4 linked regions of the Saccharomyces cerevisiae S288C genome follow. The protein of the gene in region 2 interacts with the protein of the main gene of each other region in a biochemical or structural test. Each region holds a gene or a part of one and is shown on either strand. Other genes may lie near its edges. The genes, in order: VPS9, UBI4, UBC1 and RPN1.

Evidence for each region.
Region 1: the proteins of UBI4 (region 2) and VPS9 form a complex in vitro, tested with the Saccharomyces cerevisiae proteins (6 studies listed by BioGRID).
Region 3: the proteins of UBI4 (region 2) and UBC1 form a complex in vitro, tested with the Saccharomyces cerevisiae proteins (8 studies listed by BioGRID, with this or other methods).
Region 4: the proteins of UBI4 (region 2) and RPN1 form a complex in vitro, tested with the Saccharomyces cerevisiae proteins (8 studies listed by BioGRID, with this or other methods).

What each region holds. Positions count from the first base shown.
Region 1 is NC_001145.3:75,455-81,615, forward strand, and holds VPS9 (guanine nucleotide exchange factor VPS9), read right to left. Parts: upstream 4,237-6,161; coding exon 2,881-4,236; downstream 1-2,880. Other genes in the region: ARG81 (Arg81p), read right to left, coding at 1-1,586; TAF13 (Taf13p), read left to right, coding at 1,813-2,316; YML096W (putative asparagine synthase), read left to right, coding at 4,455-6,032; DNA repair protein RAD10, read right to left, coding at 6,027-6,161.
Region 2 is NC_001144.5:62,154-68,165, reverse strand, and holds UBI4 (ubiquitin), read left to right. Parts: upstream 1-2,958; coding exon 2,959-4,104; downstream 4,105-6,012. Other genes in the region: E3 ubiquitin-protein ligase PRP19, read left to right, coding at 1-1,421; ENT4 (Ent4p), read left to right, coding at 1,648-2,391; membrane morphogenesis protein VPS13, read left to right, coding at 4,521-6,012. UniProt on the Saccharomyces cerevisiae protein: Ubiquitin exists either covalently attached to another protein, or free (unanchored).
Region 3 is NC_001136.10:812,623-818,113, forward strand, and holds UBC1 (E2 ubiquitin-conjugating protein UBC1), read left to right. Parts: upstream 1-4,255; coding exon 4,256-4,903; downstream 4,904-5,491. Other genes in the region: HMO1 (Hmo1p), read left to right, coding at 1-228; mitochondrial 37S ribosomal protein mS35 RSM24, read right to left, coding at 571-1,530; histone acetyltransferase NGG1, read left to right, coding at 1,830-3,938; succinate dehydrogenase membrane anchor subunit SDH4, read left to right, coding at 5,328-5,491.
Region 4 is NC_001140.6:161,230-166,438, reverse strand, and holds RPN1 (proteasome regulatory particle base subunit RPN1), read left to right. Parts: upstream 1-1,727; coding exon 1,728-4,709; downstream 4,710-5,209. Other genes in the region: DAP2 (dipeptidyl aminopeptidase), read left to right, coding at 1-1,461; VMA16 (H(+)-transporting V0 sector ATPase subunit c''), read right to left, coding at 4,954-5,209.

The sequences.
Region 1 (6,161 bases), on a different chromosome or scaffold from region 2:
GCCAAGTGATCCTGGCAATCTGCCATCGTCCCCCATACAACATCAATAGAGTTCATAGATAAGATCGCAGTTAGTACGTCTTTATATTTCTCAGGTATGCTTGATTTTGTGTTCAAACATAATCTTAGAAAGTTCGAGGCTTGATTTCTCAATTCGATACCTAGGCCCAGAAAGTATTTTTGTAGTTTGTAGTTCCTTGGGTACTTGCTTTGCAAGTGGAAGCAAGAGACAGCAAGAAGAGCATTCAACAACGCATTCCTCGAGTTGGAGGATTGTCCCAAACCCGCTAAATCGCCTAATGCCATCAAGGCTCTGGGGAAGTATAATGTTTTCCATGGGTTCTTTTCGAGCACGACCACTGTCATTTTATCTGCAACATTATTAAAATAATGATTTAAAAGAAATCTCGCTAAACCATGTACGGTAAGGTCTGTTTTGGGTATAATATCTACCAATTCAGGTGGTAGGTCACTGGAATAGGATGTGAGTTCTAACATGGACTTAGGCATGCGTGATTCTTCATTTGGAGGAGCTAGAGTTATTTTATTCAGATCAGATGCGGGCAGAGATCTTGGTTCAATATTGACGAACACATCGTCGATCAATGCTTGAGGGTCTGGTTCCTCACTGTTCGAAGAGTTTTTCTGGAAGAGTAACTTCAAGTTTTGCTGGTAAAGTTTATCATTGGCACTGGCTGCTTTATTAGGTAAAGTTGATGAACCTTGATTATCAGCCTCAAAGGCACATCCATGTTCTTTGGCATTCACATGCTCTTCCCCACTCACGACATTAGAGTTTTCCTCTAATGAGATTTCTTGTGGCTGTGTGTGTCCTAAGTGATGTCCCTGTAAGGTCACCGCTGACAATAATGCATCATCTCTGAGTTCACTCGAGATCCATTCGTAACCTGTTATATTCAGATTGTTCCAGTCATAATCTAAAAGATTTGGTGTTGGTGGAACACCATCATTAGCAGAGAGAATACCTGTCTTTACATGCCCTTTATTTCTCAACTTGTCTTCAATATGTCTAATTGGAAAGGAAATAGTTGAAGAAGATGGTAAAGAAGATAACGAAATAGAAGCTGAGCTCTCCAAGCTTTTGGCAACTCTTTTCCTATTGCGCTTCTTCCTTGGAGCGTACTGCTTGTCGATCTTATCTGTTCCTTTAAACACCCCAAATTTCTTTATGATCCACGTCTTGTTATCGCTTATTTTCTCAATTGGGGGAGTATGCAGCATTGTTAGCTCATCATCCATATCTTCATGATACACGTATTCTTCATCATAGCGCACAAAATCGATGTTCCGTCGTTGGTATTGTGGTTCATCGACACTACCTGATAAGTTCGTAGTAGTTGCAGGAGAATTTTGTGGGATTGGGACACCGTACGGGTCAAATTGCATAGGCTTAGACCACCGGAGTTTGATATCATAACCGCCACAAGGCAAATTAGACTTTTCACATCGTTGGCAGTGGGGATGCCGAAGATCACACTTAACTTTTCTTCCTCTGCACGTCCAACACCCAGTAAACGTCTTTGCCCTTCCCATTTTTTTAGGGCCATTCTTGCTGGAAATTCCCATTATATCTGCAACTTAAAATTTTCGAGGTACTGATATCGGTAACTATTGCCCACTAAAGCATCAAATCTAAAAGAGATGCTTTTCGCAAGGTGTATTTTTTTTTCATTTATTTTTGAGTTCTAGCGGAAACCGCAGGCGAAGAGTCATTGATAACAAAGAAGGTTCATCAACAACTGCAACATGAAATCCAAAAGGTAACGGCAGGCGAGGGTGAGCTGGATAAGATATGTCTAGGAAGCTGAAAAAAACGAATCTGTTTAACAAGGATGTAAGTTCCTTGCTTTACGCTTACGGCGATGTGCCGCAGCCACTACAAGCTACTGTGCAGTGTTTGGATGAATTGGTATCTGGATATTTGGTGGATGTTTGTACTAACGCATTCCATACAGCCCAGAATTCTCAGCGCAATAAGCTCCGATTGGAAGATTTCAAGTTTGCCCTCCGTAAAGACCCGATAAAGCTTGGGAGAGCAGAAGAACTGATAGCTACTAATAAGTTGATTACGGAAGCTAAGAAGCAGTTCAATGAGACAGACAATCAAAATTCATTAAAGAGGTACAGAGAAGAGGATGAAGAGGGTGACGAGATGGAAGAGGATGAGGATGAGCAGCAGGTGACGGATGATGATGAGGAAGCAGCGGGCCGTAATAGCGCTAAACAATCAACAGATTCGAAGGCAACAAAGATTAGGAAGCAGGGGCCTAAAAACCTCAAGAAAACAAAAAAATGATATAGCTACTTGGCAGGCCCGTTTACGTAGGCTTGATTCAGATATACGTAGTACATATGTCCCTTTGATTTATTAATTAGGCGTTTGCTCTATAAAAGGGGTTTTGAGTTTGCGTTGGTGCTGAACAAAAACACTTGTCATTACAATGGCACAATTTTGAATGCATTGTTTTCTTATTTATATATTTTTCCAAGTAAAATCTTAGGATTCAACTGGTACATTTATTCTTTTAGATTCAAAAACCCTGCTACATTAGTAACGGCAAACTCCTCCCTCTGATAGTTGTGTTGCAATACTCAGCTGTCAGCATTGGATAGTTAAGATGTATTGTTAAGTCACCGCCTGAAACAGCAACTTAAGCTCCCTTCTGTGCTTAGGAAGGTACGTGCGCCTCCTAACCCATCTATTATTTGATTCTAAGTCACAACGAGCCTGTACTAACGAGTTTTAGAAGCGATCGTTATCAGTAAAAAATGTCTCCTGCGGTAAGTTATTTTTACTATTATATTTTTACAAATACATATTGCTAGGCTACTCTATACATGAAATATGTGCATGAGATCATTATTCTGACAGAGAAAGTAGAGCATCAACACAGGGCCCAATACGCGATTTTTTAGCAATACAAACATCCTCTATCAGGCTTGGGTCCATATCTGGAAACATATTCTGTAATGTGTTCAACGTGTCCTTTCGTTCGTTCTCTTCAATTTTCTTAATTAACGAAGAAACGTCTTCTTCTTTATTGCTCTGTTCAGATTTCAATGCCTCTTCTTGTGTGGGCTCTCCAATTGGAGAAAACAGTTCATTGAATTTAGAAATTACAATATTGGTAACTTCGTCTAAGGGTTTCAGTAAAGTGCCGTTTGGCTGTAACTCATCCGGAATCTCTAGTTGTTTTTTCTTCTCTTCTTCCTCTTTTTCTTCTGCTAGTTGTTTAAAATTTCTTTGGTATGCCTCTTCAAAATCTTCGTGATCTTCGATAGTTAAAGAACGTTCAGTCAAGTTCATAATGAAGTTAAGAGCAGCCTGAAGACTGCTCAAGTAATATTCCTCTTCGCCCCGAATGAAGTCTGGTGATCTGAATCTTTCGATGTAGTTCACATTCGAAACTAGATATCGTACTTGTCCTTTCAAAATACAGTATATTAGCACAGGTATAAAGCTGTCAGCGCCATTTTGTTCCAACTTGGTATGTTTTAGTAAACCAAATATAACCTTGCTTGCATTCAAAACGCAAACCATCTTGTCCCTTGGTGACTTAAACCTATTTATTTTGCCCAACTCTTTACTGGCCAAATGGACAAACTTATTCAGCCTGGCATTCGGCATAGTATCAGGAATATCTAACATAATGGGGCTTATGAATCTATAATGCCTAATCTTTTCTAGTAATGTGTCATCGTTGGTTAAATCTTTCATATGCTCATCGTCTAATGGTTTCTGCAGAATTTCATAAAGACTTGGTGAAAAACAGCGAGAATATAGTTTCCCCATTATTAACTTTTCCATACCTTCCTTGGCATTTCTCATCTTGGAATTGTCAAGACTTCGGAAAGGCTCGTAAAGAGTGAATTTATCGTAAATGAAGGTCTTAAAGTCACTGATGAGTTTTATTTCTTCGCTGACCGTCCATAGAAGTCTTTGCGCCAAGAAGTTACGTAAGAATGATTTCGTATATTTAACCAGAGGATCTGCACCAGGAGTCTGAAGCTGCTTAATGAATATTTGAAAGTCATAAAATGGCTCCTCATCTCCTTTGTCCTGCGCGGATATGTCCCTATTAGTTTCTTCTGCCGCTGCCCTATTAGGATCATCCTTTTTAAACTTCACATCTTTATCTGGGTTGCCATTTGCCTGTTCCAATTGGCTGAAAGGATCAAATTCTTTCAATATCTCCCTCTTTTCATCATCAGTCATGGCTGTTGATTCCTGTTCTTTGTTGTTTGATGAAGAGAAACTCAAGCCCGTTGGATGTAGAACTTTTCAATGTTATGTGTCATTACATCAAGTACCGGCAGCTTGATATAGCCCATTCGCGAAAAAAATAATAAAAAAGAAAGAAAAGTGAAAAATATTAAGGCATCGGAAAGTTCCAGATTTAGTAAAGCCTTGAGCATCTGGCATTACTATGAGACATGTGCGGGATTCTATTGCATTATTGTCCAAACAATAACTACCTGAATGATGAGTTAATCGAATTTCCAGAAGGAACTGAATTTGGAGATACAACATGTACCAATGAATCGTCGATTTTCAACAAAATCATTCCGTACATAGCCGCAAGAGGTCCAAACTACTCCTCTCTTCGAGCTGTCAAAGCTTATCGAATAAGTTGGTTTTCTTCTGTTTTATCTTTGAGGCAGCCTTTCACGAAACAGAGTATTAACGTGGATGACAGATATTTCCTACAATTCAATGGTGAGTTATACAATAAAGAGATATCGCAGGGTGATAATGATAGTCTTTATATTGCTTCTATGTTGCAGAATTTGAAAGAGGGTATGGGCGTTATTGATGTTATAAAATCACTGGAAGGCGAGTATGCTTATACTATATATGACGTGAACTCATCCAAACTCTATTTCGGCAGAGATCCAATTGGCAGGCGAAGTTTGTCTTATTCGGTCACTCCAGACAACGAATTGTACGTCGCTAGTGTAACGGGGTCTGCTGGGTCCTTTCAAGATTGTATAGGTGGAGTTATTTATGAATATGATACACGAACTAAGTTGTTAAATTCCAATCAGAGGTCACATCTTCCATACGAAGTGACATCAGAGATAGATCTGAATTTCACATCATTGTCAGAGGTGTCTAAAAATTTATATGCTGTGCTACGTGATTCTGTAAAAAAAAGGGTAGAGTCCATACATCCCAGGCATATTGAAAACTCTCCTATTGCGGTACTATTCTCAGGAGGAATTGATTGTTCAGTAATAGTAGCGTTGATCTGCGAGGTGTTGCAAGAAAATGATTATAAATGTGGAAAACCAGTTATAGAGCTTCTAAATGTATCCTTCGAAAACCCCAGGACTGGTCTTTTTCCCAGTGATACACCTGATAGAAAACTGTCCATTAACAGTGCAAAGACTTTACAAAACTTATATCCTAATGTTGATATCAAACTGGTTGAAGTTGACGTTCCTTATGATGAGTATTTAAAATGGAAGCCATTTGTTATCAATTTAATGTATCCTAAACAGACTGAAATGGACTTGTCTATAGCCATTGCTTTTTTTTTTGCGTCGAGAGGTAGAGGTTTCTTAACTTCTCTGAATGGGGAAAGAACGCCATATCAGCGCCATGGGATAGTGTTATTCAGCGGACTGGGAGCAGACGAACTCTACGGTGGATATCACAAGTTTGCCAACAAACCACCCCATGAACTTGTGGAGGAACTTACAAGGCAAATAAACAACATTTATGATCGCAACCTGAATCGTGATGATAAAGTGATAGCTCATAATGGCGTGGAGGTGAGATACCCATTTTTAGATGAATATGTTATAAAGTTATCTACAGCAGAAATTCCCATTAATTTCAAGGTTAACAAATTAATCCTTCGAAAAGTTGCCTCGCAGTATTTGAAGTTGGATGGAATATCATCAGAACCAAAAAGGGCCATTCAATTCGGTGCTAAAAGCGCTAAAATGACAAAGGATGGTAATAAGCATGGAACAGATTTATTAAAAGAAAATAGGAATTGTTCATAAATTCAAATATTCAATATATTTTGCAGCTTGTTCAAAATTAAATGCTAAAAGTAGAGTAAATCCGTTGAACATACATAGTTTTGTAATGTCATTAAGGGTATCTTCAGAGTTGTTATCGTCTACTATGAA
Region 2 (6,012 bases):
ATGTTAAAGATACGGGGAATGATCCGATAACAAATGAGCCCTTAAGCATCGAAGAAATAGTGGAAATCGTACCTAGTGCGCAACAAGCCTCACTAACAGAGTCTACAAACTCTGCTACGTTAAAAGCGAATTATTCGATTCCGAATCTGTTGACAAGTTTACAGAATGAATGGGATGCTATAATGCTCGAAAACTTTAAGTTACGATCAACTCTAGATAGTTTAACGAAAAAACTGTCGACTGTAATGTACGAAAGAGATGCTGCAAAGTTGGTCGCTGCGCAACTATTGATGGAAAAAAACGAAGATTCGAAGGATTTACCCAAATCCTCACAGCAAGCGGTAGCTATTACGAGAGAAGAATTTTTACAAGGGCTGTTACAATCTTCTAGAGACTTTGTAGCGAGGGGCAAGCTCAAAGCACCCAAATGGCCGATTTTAAAAAATTTGGAGCTATTACAGGCACAAAATTACTCCCGTAACATCAAAACATTCCCATATAAAGAGCTTAACAAATCTATGTACTATGATAAATGGGTGTGCATGTGTCGCTGTGAGGATGGTGCTTTACATTTTACCCAATTAAAAGATTCGAAAACGATTACCACAATAACTACACCAAATCCCCGTACCGGGGGAGAGCATCCAGCTATTATTTCCAGAGGGCCTTGTAATCGTTTGCTACTACTATATCCAGGTAACCAAATAACTATATTGGACTCAAAAACAAACAAAGTCCTCAGAGAAATAGAGGTAGATTCCGCCAATGAGATTATATATATGTATGGTCACAACGAGGTCAACACAGAGTACTTCATCTGGGCGGATAATAGAGGAACCATAGGATTTCAATCCTACGAGGATGATTCCCAGTATATTGTTCATTCTGCTAAATCAGATGTTGAGTACAGCAGCGGTGTCCTACATAAGGATTCATTATTATTAGCCCTTTACTCTCCGGACGGTATATTAGACGTTTACAACTTGTCATCACCTGACCAGGCAAGCTCTAGATTCCCCGTAGATGAAGAAGCCAAGATAAAAGAGGTTAAATTTGCAGACAATGGGTACTGGATGGTAGTAGAGTGTGACCAAACTGTGGTTTGCTTTGACCTAAGAAAGGATGTCGGCACGCTAGCGTATCCAACTTACACAATCCCAGAATTCAAGACGGGCACCGTTACCTATGACATTGACGACTCTGGAAAGAATATGATTGCATACTCAAACGAGAGCAATTCGCTGACGATATACAAATTTGACAAGAAAACAAAAAATTGGACTAAAGACGAGGAGAGCGCCCTCTGTTTGCAAAGCGACACTGCCGATTTCACTGATATGGACGTGGTATGCGGAGATGGTGGTATTGCCGCTATTCTGAAGACAAATGATAGTTTCAATATTGTTGCATTGACACCCTAAATACGCTGACACGTTTGTACTTTCTAAATAAACCTGTGTAATAGTAGTAACATTTCCAGTAAAAATTTCATTTCCTTCTCTTTTTACATCTCTAGGACAACGCTTTAGTGAGAAAAAAAAAAAAAGAAAAAAGAATGAGAAAACGAAAATTGAGGTTATGTGTTGAATAAGCCTAGAAAGCATAAAGGTGTCAAAGAACGAGTACACATATAGTGAGGGGGTCGTGATGCCTTTGTTAGATACCTTCAAGAGTTTTATTCAATCACCGACGGAATCAAAGGTGAAACAGGCTACCAACGAGGACGAAACAAGTGGAGCAACGGGGACGCTTATGAACGAAATATCAATCTTGACCTACAGCCCCAAGACAGTACGAGAAATCATCCAGGTAATCCGGAAGCGATTGCTACTTGGGCAGAACAGAAGAAATTCTCATCGAAATTGTATCCAGGTGATGAAGACGCTGACTTTGGTCTCATATCTGATGAATAACGGGTCCAATGAATTCATCAAGTGGCTGAAAGGAAACATGATACTAATTGAGATCCTGGAGGATTTTCAGGTTCAGGATCCTCGGGATGAACGTAAGGCGGAAGATATTCAAAAGCTAAGCAGGAACGTTCTGGGGCTGCTGCAAGACGACGGGTTACTAGAAAAACAACGCAAGGATGTAATACAATTCCGCTCAAGCATATCGACTCCGGGCAGGAAGTCCACGGACAATAGCCATTTGAAGCTGGAGGAAATGAGAAGCGAGCTCACGCGACAAAGCTTAGAAAAGAAAGCAAAGCCTCCCACCACCAGCACTAGCTTAGATTTCCAGAGACAACGGACAAGGAATACGCACGAATATGCCCGATTCTCTTTGGATCCCCTGGCCGAAGAAGACAGTGAAGATACGCCCGGCGTGGCGGGTGGAATAAGCAAGCTCTCATTTAGACCCAAGTCTTCAAATAACCCGTTCAGATGATTTTAGAGTCTTCCTTGACCAATCATCTTATTCGCGCAGGGCAACCCATGATAGGAAATGTCCCTTTAAACGAACTGTGGGAAATCCTGCAAAAGTGATGAAAGTGACGTTTTATGAAAAGAAAGTGAAAAAGTTCTTGTTTGACAATATTCTATTCCGAAAAGTCTTTGTGGTCAGTATTGTTTCTAGAACGTTCTAGAATAATCCTGGATAAACCAATTTCGGTACCAAAAAAAAAAATAGCCGCCCAGTGGAGCATCACACAGCCGTACATCCGGCCACACACGGTGGTTACCCCACTTCGTTTCTTTTTTCAGGGGCGATGCCACTTATCAGTTGTTTTTAGAATTCAGTGTCATTTGAGGGCGGTTCCTCCTTTTGGGGGTATATATAGAGAGGCTCCGGGTTTTGCCACCTTTGAATTCGCCTGCTTATCTTTCTTCTTCCGAAAGTGCTACTTCAGAAAGAGCAAGAACTGTACGGATAAGGATAAGTATATCTTCTATCTACTACAATACGACAAGAACTCTCGAACTCTCCCTCCCACTTTACTTTAACTAATAGATTATGCAGATTTTCGTCAAGACTTTGACCGGTAAAACCATAACATTGGAAGTTGAATCTTCCGATACCATCGACAACGTTAAGTCGAAAATTCAAGACAAGGAAGGTATCCCTCCAGATCAACAAAGATTGATCTTTGCCGGTAAGCAGCTAGAAGACGGTAGAACGCTGTCTGATTACAACATTCAGAAGGAGTCCACCTTACATCTTGTGCTAAGGCTAAGAGGTGGTATGCAGATCTTTGTTAAGACTTTGACCGGTAAAACCATCACTTTAGAGGTTGAATCCTCCGACACGATCGATAACGTTAAGTCGAAAATCCAGGACAAGGAAGGTATCCCTCCGGATCAACAGAGGTTGATCTTTGCCGGTAAGCAGCTAGAAGATGGTAGAACCTTGTCTGACTACAACATCCAAAAGGAATCTACTCTTCACTTGGTGTTGAGACTGAGAGGTGGTATGCAAATTTTTGTCAAGACACTGACAGGTAAGACTATAACCCTAGAGGTTGAATCTTCTGACACTATCGACAACGTTAAGTCGAAAATTCAAGACAAGGAAGGTATTCCTCCAGATCAACAAAGATTGATTTTTGCTGGTAAGCAACTGGAAGACGGTAGAACGCTGTCTGATTATAACATTCAGAAAGAGTCTACGTTGCATTTGGTGTTGAGATTGAGAGGTGGTATGCAAATTTTCGTCAAAACTCTAACAGGGAAGACTATAACCCTAGAGGTTGAATCTTCCGACACTATTGACAACGTCAAAAGTAAAATTCAAGATAAAGAAGGTATCCCTCCGGATCAACAGAGATTGATTTTTGCTGGTAAGCAACTAGAAGATGGTAGAACCTTGTCTGACTACAACATCCAAAAGGAATCTACTCTTCACTTGGTGTTGAGACTGAGAGGTGGTATGCAAATTTTTGTCAAGACACTGACAGGTAAGACTATAACCCTAGAGGTTGAATCTTCTGACACTATTGACAACGTTAAGTCGAAAATTCAAGACAAGGAAGGTATTCCTCCAGACCAGCAAAGATTGATTTTTGCCGGTAAGCAACTAGAAGATGGTAGAACGCTGTCGGACTACAATATTCAAAAGGAGTCCACTCTTCACCTTGTCTTGAGGTTGAGGGGTGGTAACTGATCAGTCCTCGCAATATTTTCATTATGTCAATATATATATGTTTACTCTCCTTTTTTCTTTTTGGTTTTTTTTTTTTTTTGATAAATACTCCATAGAACACTAAATAAATTGTTCAACTGTGTTATTGTCTTTATTCATGTTGGTTTTCAAGAGCTTGGATTTTTGAATCGTCTTATACTATGACGTTCACTATTTTCGCGAAGCCGGGTAATACCATTAGCTATTTTGATAGAAAGGGATTTTTATTAGGGAATATAAACCACCTTTATAGTGTCCTATCATGTTTCAATCTCCAGTAAACGCACATAAGCCGACCAATTGAGTCAACCTTTTAACTCTATTTAATTTGATACGGATAGAATATTGTGACTACCAAAAGGGAAAAGGCAGAAAAAAGGAAAATTAAGAACAGTTAAATGTTAGAGTCTTTAGCTGCTAATTTGCTAAACCGATTGCTAGGCTCATATGTGGAAAATTTCGACCCTAATCAATTAAATGTCGGCATATGGAGTGGTGATGTGAAGTTAAAAAACTTAAAACTAAGAAAAGACTGTTTGGACTCATTAAATTTACCCATAGATGTGAAATCAGGGATACTGGGTGATTTGGTCTTAACGGTCCCATGGTCAAGTTTAAAGAATAAGCCCGTGAAAATCATTATCGAGGACTGTTATTTATTATGCTCACCACGTTCAGAAGATCACGAAAATGATGAGGAGATGATAAAGAGAGCTTTTCGGTTGAAGATGAGGAAGGTAAGTGAATGGGAACTGACAAATCAGGCTCGCATACTGAGTACCCAATCAGAGAACAAAACCTCTTCTTCTTCTTCAGAAAAAAATAACGCCGGGTTTATGCAGTCTTTGACTACAAAGATCATAGACAATTTACAAGTTACCATAAAAAATATCCATTTAAGGTACGAGGACATGGACGGAATCTTCACTACAGGCCCATCTTCCGTTGGATTAACTTTGAACGAGCTATCAGCTGTATCTACAGATTCCAACTGGGCTCCAAGTTTCATTGATATTACACAGAATATCACGCATAAACTATTGACTTTAAATTCACTCTGTTTGTATTGGAATACAGACTCTCCGCCCTTGATTTCTGATGATGATCAAGATAGAAGCCTGGAAAATTTTGTAAGGGGTTTCAAAGATATGATTGCATCGAAAAATTCCACTGCCCCCAAGCATCAATACATTTTGAAACCGGTTAGCGGGCTAGGGAAGCTTAGTATCAACAAGCTGGGTTCCACGGAGGAACAACCTCACATTGACTTGCAAATGTTTTATGATGAATTTGGTTTAGAATTAGATGATACAGAATATAATGATATCTTGCATGTCCTCTCCAGTATACAGTTAAGACAAATTACCAAAAAGTTTAAGAAAGCAAGACCATCCTTCGCAGTTAGTGAAAACCCGACAGAATGGTTTAAATACATTGCTGCTTGTGTTATTAATGAAATTCATGAAAAAAACAAAATGTGGACTTGGGAAAGCATGAAGGAGAAATGTGAACAACGGAGGTTGTACACAAAATTATGGGTTGAAAAGTTAAAGTTAAAAAATTTAGAAGCTCCGCTACGTGACCCCATTCAGGAGGCTCAATTATCTGAATTGCATAAAGATTTAACGTATGATGAAATTATTCTCTTCAGATCTGTCGCTAAGAGACAGTACGCGCAATATAAGTTGGGCATGACGGAAGACTCACCCACACCAACAGCTAGCTCAAATATTGAACCACAAACTTCCAACAAGTCCGCAACTAAAAATAATGGAAGCTGGCTCTCTTCTTGGTGGAACGGTAAACCTACAGAAGAAGTAGACGAAGATTTAATAATGACTGAAGAACAGCGTCAGGAGCTTTATGATGCTATTGAATTTGACGAGAATG
Region 3 (5,491 bases), on a different chromosome or scaffold from region 2:
CAAAGAGAGAAATCCAAATACTTAGAAGCAAAGAAAAACGGTACCCTACCACCAGCTTCCTTGGAAAACGGTCCAACTCATGCGCCGGTTCCAATTCCTTTCAGTTTACAGCACGCCGCTGAACCTCCTGTGGAAAAGAGACCTCACGATGATGATGGATCTTCGGAAAAGAAGAAGAAGAAGAAGAAGAAGGATAAGAAGAAGGACAAATCCAACTCTTCTATTTGATGGACGGACAAACTCGTTACTATTACTCTACTGTCTTTCTAAAATAAATATAATAATAAAAAAAGGAATAAAATATAGCAGCATGGGCTTGCTTTGCCCATAGTGTATGCACATATATATATATATATATGTATCTATCCCTCTCCTCTTGTAACAGTATATCTTCCTTTTCATTTTCGTTGTGTATATGTATGTATATAGTTCTAAATTTGCGATTATACCTTTTCAAACCTCTCAATGTTGTATTGTGCTAAAACTATGTACATTTTAGAGAAAAAGAAGGAAGCAAAACAAATACATAATATATACAGGGGGGCCGTTCTTTTTGTTTTTGAACATGTATTAAAGAGTGCTCAATAATTGATCTACAATATCAAATTTCTTCTTTGGTGCATCTTCAGGGCGTTTCCAGTGTTCAGGAAACTCATAATCCCGCTTCTTTTTACGTAAACTCTTAGCTATAGTATGCCTTGTGTCAAGGGGAACATCGCTAAAATCGTCCTCCGTCAAATCTTTTGACTCCGCTAACAGCCTTTGAAGAATATCATGCAAATAACGTGCATTTTGTGATGCATGCTCAAATTTGTCACTAGACATTTTAAAAATATCTGTAGTATGATCATAACGCGACCTGGCTAATATTCTGAACTTATGTAATGATTTTTCCTCCAGGCCCAATTCCTTGGTTTTAACGCTTAATACAACCTTCCTCGAATTGGGATGCTCTTCGCCAACATAACTAGTGTATCTATAAGTGACCGGATGACTTTCTGGAGATGGTCTCTTGTATTCCTGGCGATATTGAGCTAATAGCGGTAACTCATATGCGGCTAATCGATTATAGAACCTTTGTTCACGATGTTGGGCAACCAATTCCTGAGCTTGCGATGGCAATTCATCAAACATAAACGGTCTAAGACTGTTATCGCGATTCACGTTTCCACCTTTTATATCAATAGCGCCTTGTTCTCCTCTGTGATATAGCTTTTTAATATCGTTAACAGGTACATTTGAGTACTCAGAAGTGGTTAATAAGGCATTCAGTTCGTCTTTGTTAGGTTTATACTCTGAACCCAATCTAGCCATTCTCTCCCAATATAACTCTAAAATTCTTTGAGGAGGTAAACCCTTCCATTTTTCGGGATGCATATAGAGATCTGCTGAAAAAGCTGGTCCTTCTCTCACAGTTTTAGCTTCATTACCAGCATCACTGTTCAAACATCTAGACATTGTCAAAACCCTTTTCTGGGTGCTCCACAAATTACCCCGAGAGACTTTCCATAACCCCAATGGTACTTTCATCTTCCTAAGAATAGTATTTTAGTAGTGTCAAATGTTTCGGTAACTCTACTGCCTTGTTCACAGATCGAAATATACTCAGAATCAGTTACAGAAAAGGTCCCATTTAGCGTAATTTCTTAGCGGAACTCATTAAAGAGCTCCGACGTGCAACGCGATAAAGGTTCGCCGACGACAACAAAACAATGGCAGGCAGTCATTAAATGAACGCCATCAAATGAAATATTCGTGGTAGCGATTACAATAAGGAAGTTGGAAAAACATAACAAAGACGGAGCGACGAGAAGTATTGGACAGGACATATGCCTAGACATGGAAGAAGAGGAAAACTGCCAAAAGGCGAGAAACTTCCTAAAAAGGAGGGAGGCGACAATACTCCGTCAAAGCTTTTATCGTCAATGCTTAAAACTTTAGATTTGACCTTCGAGCGTGATATTGGAATGCTCAATGGCAAAAGTGTTAGGTCCATACCCAATAAAAAAACTTTACTTGAATTGCAAAGTCAATTGGATAGTCTCAATGAAATACTGGGTACAATTGCCCGAGGTGATCAAGAGACCATTGAAGCGCTTCGGAAAATAAGAGACAGTAAAAATGAGAAGCAAGCAAACGATGAAAAGCAGGAAACTTCAAATGCAGACGGGCAGCACGAAAGTTCTACTGCTACTGAAGAAACGAATATAATTGATAAAGGGGTACAAAGCCCACCAAAACCTCCTCCTTCTAATGAAATCTCCGGCACAATTGAGAACGATGTAGAAAGCATCAAACAAGCGGCTGATAATATGGCTAAAGAAGAAATTAATGAAGACAAAGATTTACAAGTTCATAGAGATCAACCCAGAGAAAAGAGGCCGTTCGATTCTGAAACTGAAAATAGGGCCACTGAAAATGAAAACACACAGAGGCCAGACAATAAGAAGCAAAAAATTGACGTTGACAAAATGGAAAACGATCCAACTGTTAAAAATCCAAAATCAGAATTTGTAGTATCGCAAACGTTACCTCGAGCAGCAGCAGCACTCGGCTTATTCAATGAAGAGGGACTAGAAAGTACAGGAGAAGACTTCCTAAAAAAAAAATACAATGTAGCTAGTTATCCAACAAATGATTTGAAAGATCTGTTACCAGGTGAATTACCGGATATGGACTTTTCGCATCCTAAACCAACCAACCAAATTCAATTCAATACCTTTCTAGCATTTGTGGAAAATTTTTTCAAAGATCTTAGTGATGACAACTTAAAGTTTTTGAAGATGAAATATATTATACCCGATAGCTTGCAATTTGACAAAACTTATGACCCTGAGGTAAACCCGTTTATTATACCGAAACTAGGCCCTTTATACACAGATGTTTGGTTCAAAGATGAAAACGACAAAAATTCTGCCTATAAAAAACCTTCACCATATTCAAACGATGCATCTACTATACTACCAAAAAAAAGTGCCAACGAACTTGATGATAATGCTTTGGAATCGGGCAGTATATCGTGTGGGCCCTTATTATCTAGGCTGTTGAGTGCTGTATTAAAAGATGACAATGACAAATCAGAATTGCAATCTTCTAAAATAATACGGGATGGCGGACTACCGAGAACCGGAGGGGAAGACGATATACAATCGTTTAGAAACAACAACAATGATACTGTAGACATGACATTATCTCAGGAGAACGGGCCCAGTGTTCAAACACCTGACAATGACATTGATGAGGAAGCATCTTTCCAAGCAAAACTGGCAGAAAATAAAGGCAGTAATGGCGGTACTACAAGTACGTTACCCCAACAAATTGGGTGGATAACAAATGGAATTAACCTGGACTATCCAACATTCGAAGAACGATTGAAAAGAGAACTAAAGTATGTAGGGATATACATGAATTTGCCTAAGGATGAGAACAACCCTAACTCAGATGACCCCGATTGGGTCACCGGTAGAGAAGACGACGAAATAAGCGCAGAGTTAAGAGAATTGCAAGGCACTTTAAAACAAGTGACCAAGAAAAACCAAAAGAGGAAAGCCCAATTGATTCCACTAGTGGAAAGACAACTAGCATGGCAGGAATACTCATCTATTTTAGAAGATTTAGACAAACAAATCGACCAGGCTTATGTCAAACGTATTCGCGTACCCAAGAAAAGAAAGAAGCATCATACAGCAGCTTCAAATAATGTGAACACAGGAACCACGTCTCAAATAGCACAACAAAAGGCTGCAAACTCAAGTTTAAAATCCCTTCTGGATAAAAGGCAAAGGTGGATTAATAAGATTGGTCCATTGTTTGATAAACCTGAAATTATGAAGAGAATCCCCAATGAAAGCGTATTCAAGGACATGGACCAAGAAGAAGATGAGGATGAAGCCGATGTATTTGCACAAAACACTAATAAGGACGTGGAACTAAATTAAAATATACGAACTCTAAGGAAAAATACGTAGCATAATAACGCATATAACTAACAATTTGGATAACTATCCATAAAAAAAAAAAAATAGTCACATAATACGAACATTAATATCCTTTTTTGTTACATTTTCTTCCATCTGAAATATTTGGAGGGGCAAAAACAATGAGATGACAGTTGAATGCATGAACTTCCGATCGCGGGCGTATAGGTAAAGTCAATTGAAGCAAGTGTGACGACATAAGTATCGTAATTTAGTGGTTGGATACATTAAAAAAAACAAGTGGTATATATATAAGTAGTAGTAGTAAGAAGTAAGCGATGTCTAGGGCTAAGAGAATTATGAAAGAAATCCAAGCTGTGAAGGATGATCCTGCAGCTCACATTACTCTTGAATTTGTGAGTGAATCTGATATCCACCATTTAAAAGGCACATTTTTGGGCCCACCTGGAACACCTTACGAGGGTGGCAAATTTGTCGTGGATATCGAAGTACCTATGGAGTATCCATTCAAACCACCAAAGATGCAGTTCGACACAAAAGTATACCATCCAAATATATCATCAGTGACAGGTGCCATTTGTTTAGATATTCTTAAGAATGCATGGTCGCCAGTGATAACACTAAAGTCTGCATTGATTTCGCTACAGGCGCTACTACAATCTCCAGAGCCTAACGATCCTCAAGATGCAGAAGTAGCACAACACTATTTACGGGATAGAGAATCTTTTAATAAGACTGCTGCACTATGGACGAGGTTATACGCCAGTGAAACTTCCAATGGTCAAAAAGGCAATGTAGAGGAGTCTGATTTATATGGGATTGACCACGATCTGATTGACGAGTTTGAATCTCAAGGTTTTGAAAAGGACAAGATTGTGGAAGTGTTGAGACGATTAGGCGTCAAGTCCTTAGACCCCAATGACAACAACACAGCCAACCGTATCATCGAGGAATTGTTGAAGTGAATAGATAAAAAAAAAACGCACCAAGTAAGTAAGTAAATAAAGAATAAATAAACTATATGAGTAAAACACCAAGCGAGGATGTTTCATTGTGCATCCGTGTTCTTGATGATCACATAACTGTAAAAGAATAATACGGCACGTTAAATGTTATTTTAGAATATATAAACACCTTATGTGCCATAAGCATTGAGCCAATCGCTGCTGTTTTTTTTATTCCGGGGCACCTTCGGAAGAACACAGGCGCAATTTAGTTATATAAGGAGAAGCCCTCGAGCGATCAGGGGACCGACTGCGGATCGCTTTAAGGCAAAGATAGAAGGATAAATATCTGCTTTGGAAGATAGTCGTATCTAATTTCCCATTCTGTTGTTTTCTTGATCTTTCCTACGCTTTCGACTTTCTTCCTACGCGCTTTATAATAGCTATGATGTTGCCAAGATCCATGAAATTTATGACTGGAAGGAGAATTTTCCATACTGCCACAGTAAGGGCCTTCCAGTCTACCGCTAAGAAGAGCTTAACTATCCCATTTTTGCCCGTATTACCCCAGAAACCAGGTGGTGTTAGGGGCACTCCCAATGATGCCTA
Region 4 (5,209 bases), on a different chromosome or scaffold from region 2:
ACTGAAGTTACATGGGTAGGAAATGGAAACGTTTTAGTTAAAACTACCGATCGATCCTCGGACATATTGACTGTGTTTTTGATAGATACAATTGCAAAGACTTCAAACGTGGTAAGGAACGAAAGTTCTAACGGAGGATGGTGGGAGATTACTCATAATACTCTGTTTATTCCGGCAAATGAAACATTTGATAGGCCTCATAATGGTTATGTTGATATTCTTCCGATTGGTGGTTACAATCATTTGGCTTATTTCGAAAATAGTAATAGTTCACACTATAAAACATTGACAGAGGGGAAATGGGAAGTGGTGAATGGCCCACTTGCCTTTGATTCAATGGAAAATCGTCTTTACTTCATTTCTACACGAAAGAGTTCAACCGAACGCCACGTTTACTACATAGATTTACGGTCACCAAATGAAATTATTGAAGTTACTGATACTTCTGAGGATGGTGTCTATGATGTGTCCTTTTCTTCTGGTAGAAGGTTTGGTTTACTCACCTATAAAGGACCAAAAGTTCCATATCAAAAAATTGTGGACTTCCATTCTCGTAAAGCAGAAAAATGCGACAAAGGTAATGTTTTAGGCAAATCACTATACCATTTGGAAAAGAACGAAGTACTTACCAAAATTTTAGAAGATTATGCGGTACCCAGAAAATCATTCAGGGAATTGAACCTAGGAAAGGACGAATTTGGAAAGGATATACTAGTGAACTCGTATGAAATCCTACCAAATGATTTCGATGAAACGTTAAGTGACCACTATCCTGTATTTTTCTTTGCATATGGGGGACCGAATTCTCAACAAGTTGTCAAAACGTTTTCCGTAGGATTTAATGAAGTGGTAGCTTCACAATTAAACGCAATTGTAGTTGTTGTTGACGGTCGTGGTACTGGCTTCAAAGGTCAAGACTTTAGATCCCTTGTTCGCGATAGGCTCGGTGATTACGAGGCCCGCGACCAAATATCTGCGGCTTCCTTATATGGTTCTTTAACTTTTGTTGATCCGCAAAAGATTTCCTTATTTGGTTGGTCATACGGGGGGTACCTGACACTAAAAACTTTGGAGAAAGATGGCGGAAGACATTTCAAATACGGGATGTCAGTTGCGCCAGTAACCGACTGGAGATTTTACGATTCTGTTTATACTGAGAGGTACATGCATACTCCTCAAGAAAACTTTGATGGATACGTAGAATCAAGCGTTCATAATGTCACTGCTTTGGCACAAGCAAATAGATTTTTGTTGATGCACGGAACAGGAGATGATAACGTTCACTTTCAAAATTCCCTAAAGTTTCTGGACCTTTTGGATCTAAATGGTGTGGAAAATTATGACGTCCACGTCTTTCCTGACTCAGATCATAGTATAAGATACCATAATGCGAATGTAATCGTTTTTGACAAGCTATTGGATTGGGCAAAGCGTGCTTTCGATGGGCAATTTGTCAAATGAGTTGACTATTTACAGCTCATCTCATAGAGACATTCATAAAACATTTTCATATTTACATACTATGTATATATAAAATTGGTAATATAACAGATTAATGTTCGTAGAAGATGATGTGTTTTACGGTGGCAAAAGGCGAGCACGAAATTTGGCAAAGGGTATAAGTAATTAAGCAAATTTGGTCAAATCTATAATTCTTCACTAACAAACTTGCCCATTGGTCTACATAAGGTGCGATTCGTATAAATTTGGAAGACAATTGCAAGAAAATGGTAGACGAAAGTGATAAGAAACAACAGACTATTGATGAACAATCGCAGATAAGTCCTGAAAAGCAGACACCAAATAAGAAGGATAAAAAAAAGGAGGAAGAGGAGCAGCTATCCGAAGAAGATGCAAAGCTTAAAACAGATTTAGAGCTATTGGTTGAAAGGCTGAAAGAAGACGATTCATCTTTATATGAAGCGTCTTTGAATGCCTTAAAGGAATCGATCAAAAATTCTACGAGTTCTATGACCGCCGTTCCCAAACCTTTGAAATTCCTTCGTCCGACATATCCAGACCTATGTTCTATCTACGACAAATGGACAGATCCAAACTTGAAATCCTCTTTAGCGGATGTCTTGTCCATTTTAGCCATGACATACTCTGAAAATGGTAAACACGATTCATTGAGATATAGATTACTCTCCGACGTTTCTGATTTTGAAGGGTGGGGACATGAGTACATCCGTCATTTAGCTTTGGAGATCGGTGAAGTATATAATGATCAAGTGGAAAAAGATGCTGAAGATGAAACATCATCTGATGGATCTAAAAGCGATGGATCTGCGGCTACTTCCGGGTTCGAATTTTCCAAGGAAGATACTCTTCGTCTATGTTTAGACATTGTCCCATACTTTTTGAAACACAACGGTGAAGAAGACGCGGTAGATTTGCTTTTGGAAATTGAATCTATTGACAAGCTACCTCAATTTGTCGATGAGAATACCTTCCAAAGAGTTTGTCAATATATGGTTGCATGTGTTCCACTTTTGCCACCTCCTGAAGACGTTGCCTTTTTAAAAACCGCATATTCTATTTATCTATCTCAGAACGAACTTACAGATGCAATTGCTTTGGCAGTTAGACTAGGGGAAGAGGATATGATCAGATCCGTTTTCGATGCTACTAGCGATCCAGTGATGCATAAACAATTAGCATATATTTTAGCCGCACAAAAGACATCGTTTGAGTATGAAGGTGTTCAGGATATAATTGGAAATGGTAAATTGTCTGAACACTTTTTATATCTTGCTAAAGAATTGAATCTAACTGGGCCAAAAGTCCCAGAAGACATTTATAAGAGCCATTTGGATAACTCTAAATCTGTGTTCTCAAGCGCCGGCCTAGATTCTGCTCAACAAAATCTAGCTTCGTCATTTGTCAACGGGTTCTTAAACTTAGGTTATTGTAACGATAAATTAATTGTGGATAATGATAATTGGGTATATAAAACCAAAGGTGACGGTATGACTTCCGCGGTAGCTAGTATTGGATCTATATACCAGTGGAATCTCGATGGTTTGCAACAACTGGATAAGTATCTCTACGTTGATGAGCCAGAAGTTAAAGCTGGTGCATTATTAGGTATTGGTATTTCCGCTTCCGGTGTGCATGATGGTGAAGTTGAACCAGCTTTGTTACTTTTGCAAGATTATGTTACTAACCCAGACACTAAAATTAGTTCAGCAGCTATTCTTGGCCTGGGTATTGCATTTGCTGGTAGCAAGAATGACGAAGTGTTGGGTTTGTTATTACCAATTGCCGCATCCACTGACTTGCCTATTGAAACTGCAGCTATGGCTTCCTTAGCTTTGGCTCATGTTTTCGTTGGTACTTGTAATGGTGACATTACAACTTCTATCATGGACAACTTTTTAGAGCGTACAGCCATCGAGTTGAAGACCGACTGGGTAAGGTTTTTGGCACTTGCTTTAGGTATTCTATACATGGGCCAAGGTGAACAGGTGGATGATGTTTTAGAAACTATTAGTGCTATTGAACATCCAATGACATCAGCTATTGAAGTATTAGTTGGTTCATGTGCTTATACTGGTACGGGTGATGTTTTGTTAATTCAAGATTTGTTACATCGTTTGACCCCTAAAAACGTAAAAGGTGAAGAAGATGCAGATGAAGAAGAAACTGCCGAAGGACAGACTAATAGCATAAGTGACTTTTTGGGTGAGCAAGTGAATGAACCTACCAAGAACGAGGAAGCTGAGATCGAAGTGGACGAAATGGAGGTTGATGCCGAAGGAGAGGAAGTTGAAGTTAAAGCAGAAATAACAGAGAAGAAGAATGGTGAGAGTTTAGAAGGTGAAGAGATAAAATCCGAAGAAAAGAAGGGAAAATCTTCCGATAAGGATGCTACTACGGACGGGAAAAATGATGATGAGGAGGAAGAAAAAGAAGCAGGCATAGTCGATGAACTTGCTTATGCAGTTTTGGGTATTGCTTTGATTGCCCTTGGTGAAGATATTGGCAAGGAAATGTCTTTACGTCATTTTGGTCATTTAATGCATTATGGTAATGAACACATCCGTCGTATGGTTCCTTTAGCGATGGGTATTGTTTCCGTTTCTGATCCACAAATGAAGGTGTTCGATACCTTAACTCGTTTTTCACATGACGCCGATTTAGAAGTTTCAATGAATTCAATTTTCGCTATGGGTCTATGTGGTGCTGGTACTAACAATGCAAGGTTAGCTCAACTATTAAGACAGTTGGCAAGTTATTATTCACGTGAACAAGACGCTTTGTTTATCACCAGATTAGCACAAGGGTTATTGCATCTTGGTAAAGGTACTATGACAATGGATGTGTTCAATGATGCACATGTTTTGAATAAGGTGACATTAGCATCAATATTAACTACCGCAGTTGGTTTAGTATCGCCAAGTTTCATGTTGAAGCATCATCAATTGTTCTACATGTTGAATGCCGGTATAAGGCCAAAGTTTATTCTAGCATTAAACGATGAGGGAGAGCCAATAAAGGTTAATGTGCGCGTTGGTCAAGCAGTGGAAACTGTCGGCCAAGCAGGCAGACCAAAAAAGATTACTGGCTGGATTACGCAATCCACTCCTGTTTTACTAAATCATGGCGAAAGAGCAGAACTAGAAACTGATGAATATATTAGTTACACAAGCCATATTGAGGGCGTAGTAATTTTAAAGAAGAACCCTGACTATCGTGAAGAGGAGTAAACTGAATAGCTTTTGGGCAATATCAACCAGAATAGGAAAAATTCAAAACCATTTTAAATAAATATATATTTATATAGTTGTACATTTTTTTCTCTTACTTAATATAATATGATTTTTAGATAATAAAAGAAAACGTGCATATATACATACACATGTATCTCAGATATCTCATTATATCTATTAGTAAATATGGATGCGCTTATCTAGCTCGTAAAAACGGAAAAGAAAAGCCTGGTTTGAGCGCTTACTGAAATTCAGAAGCTTTACCGGCCATCAATAAACCAACAATCAAACCTAATAAACCTAAAATGGACCCGAAAATTTCAATGACCAAAATTTTAACAAACAATGCGGAATCAGCAGCATCGGAAATGGCAGCAGTCGCACCGGTGATACCGACAGCGATACCACAAATCAAATTGGAAGCACCGACAGTGATACCTGCCCAGAAAAGAGAATAACCAGTGTACAGGTTTGATTTCGAGTACATGTTCTCAGCA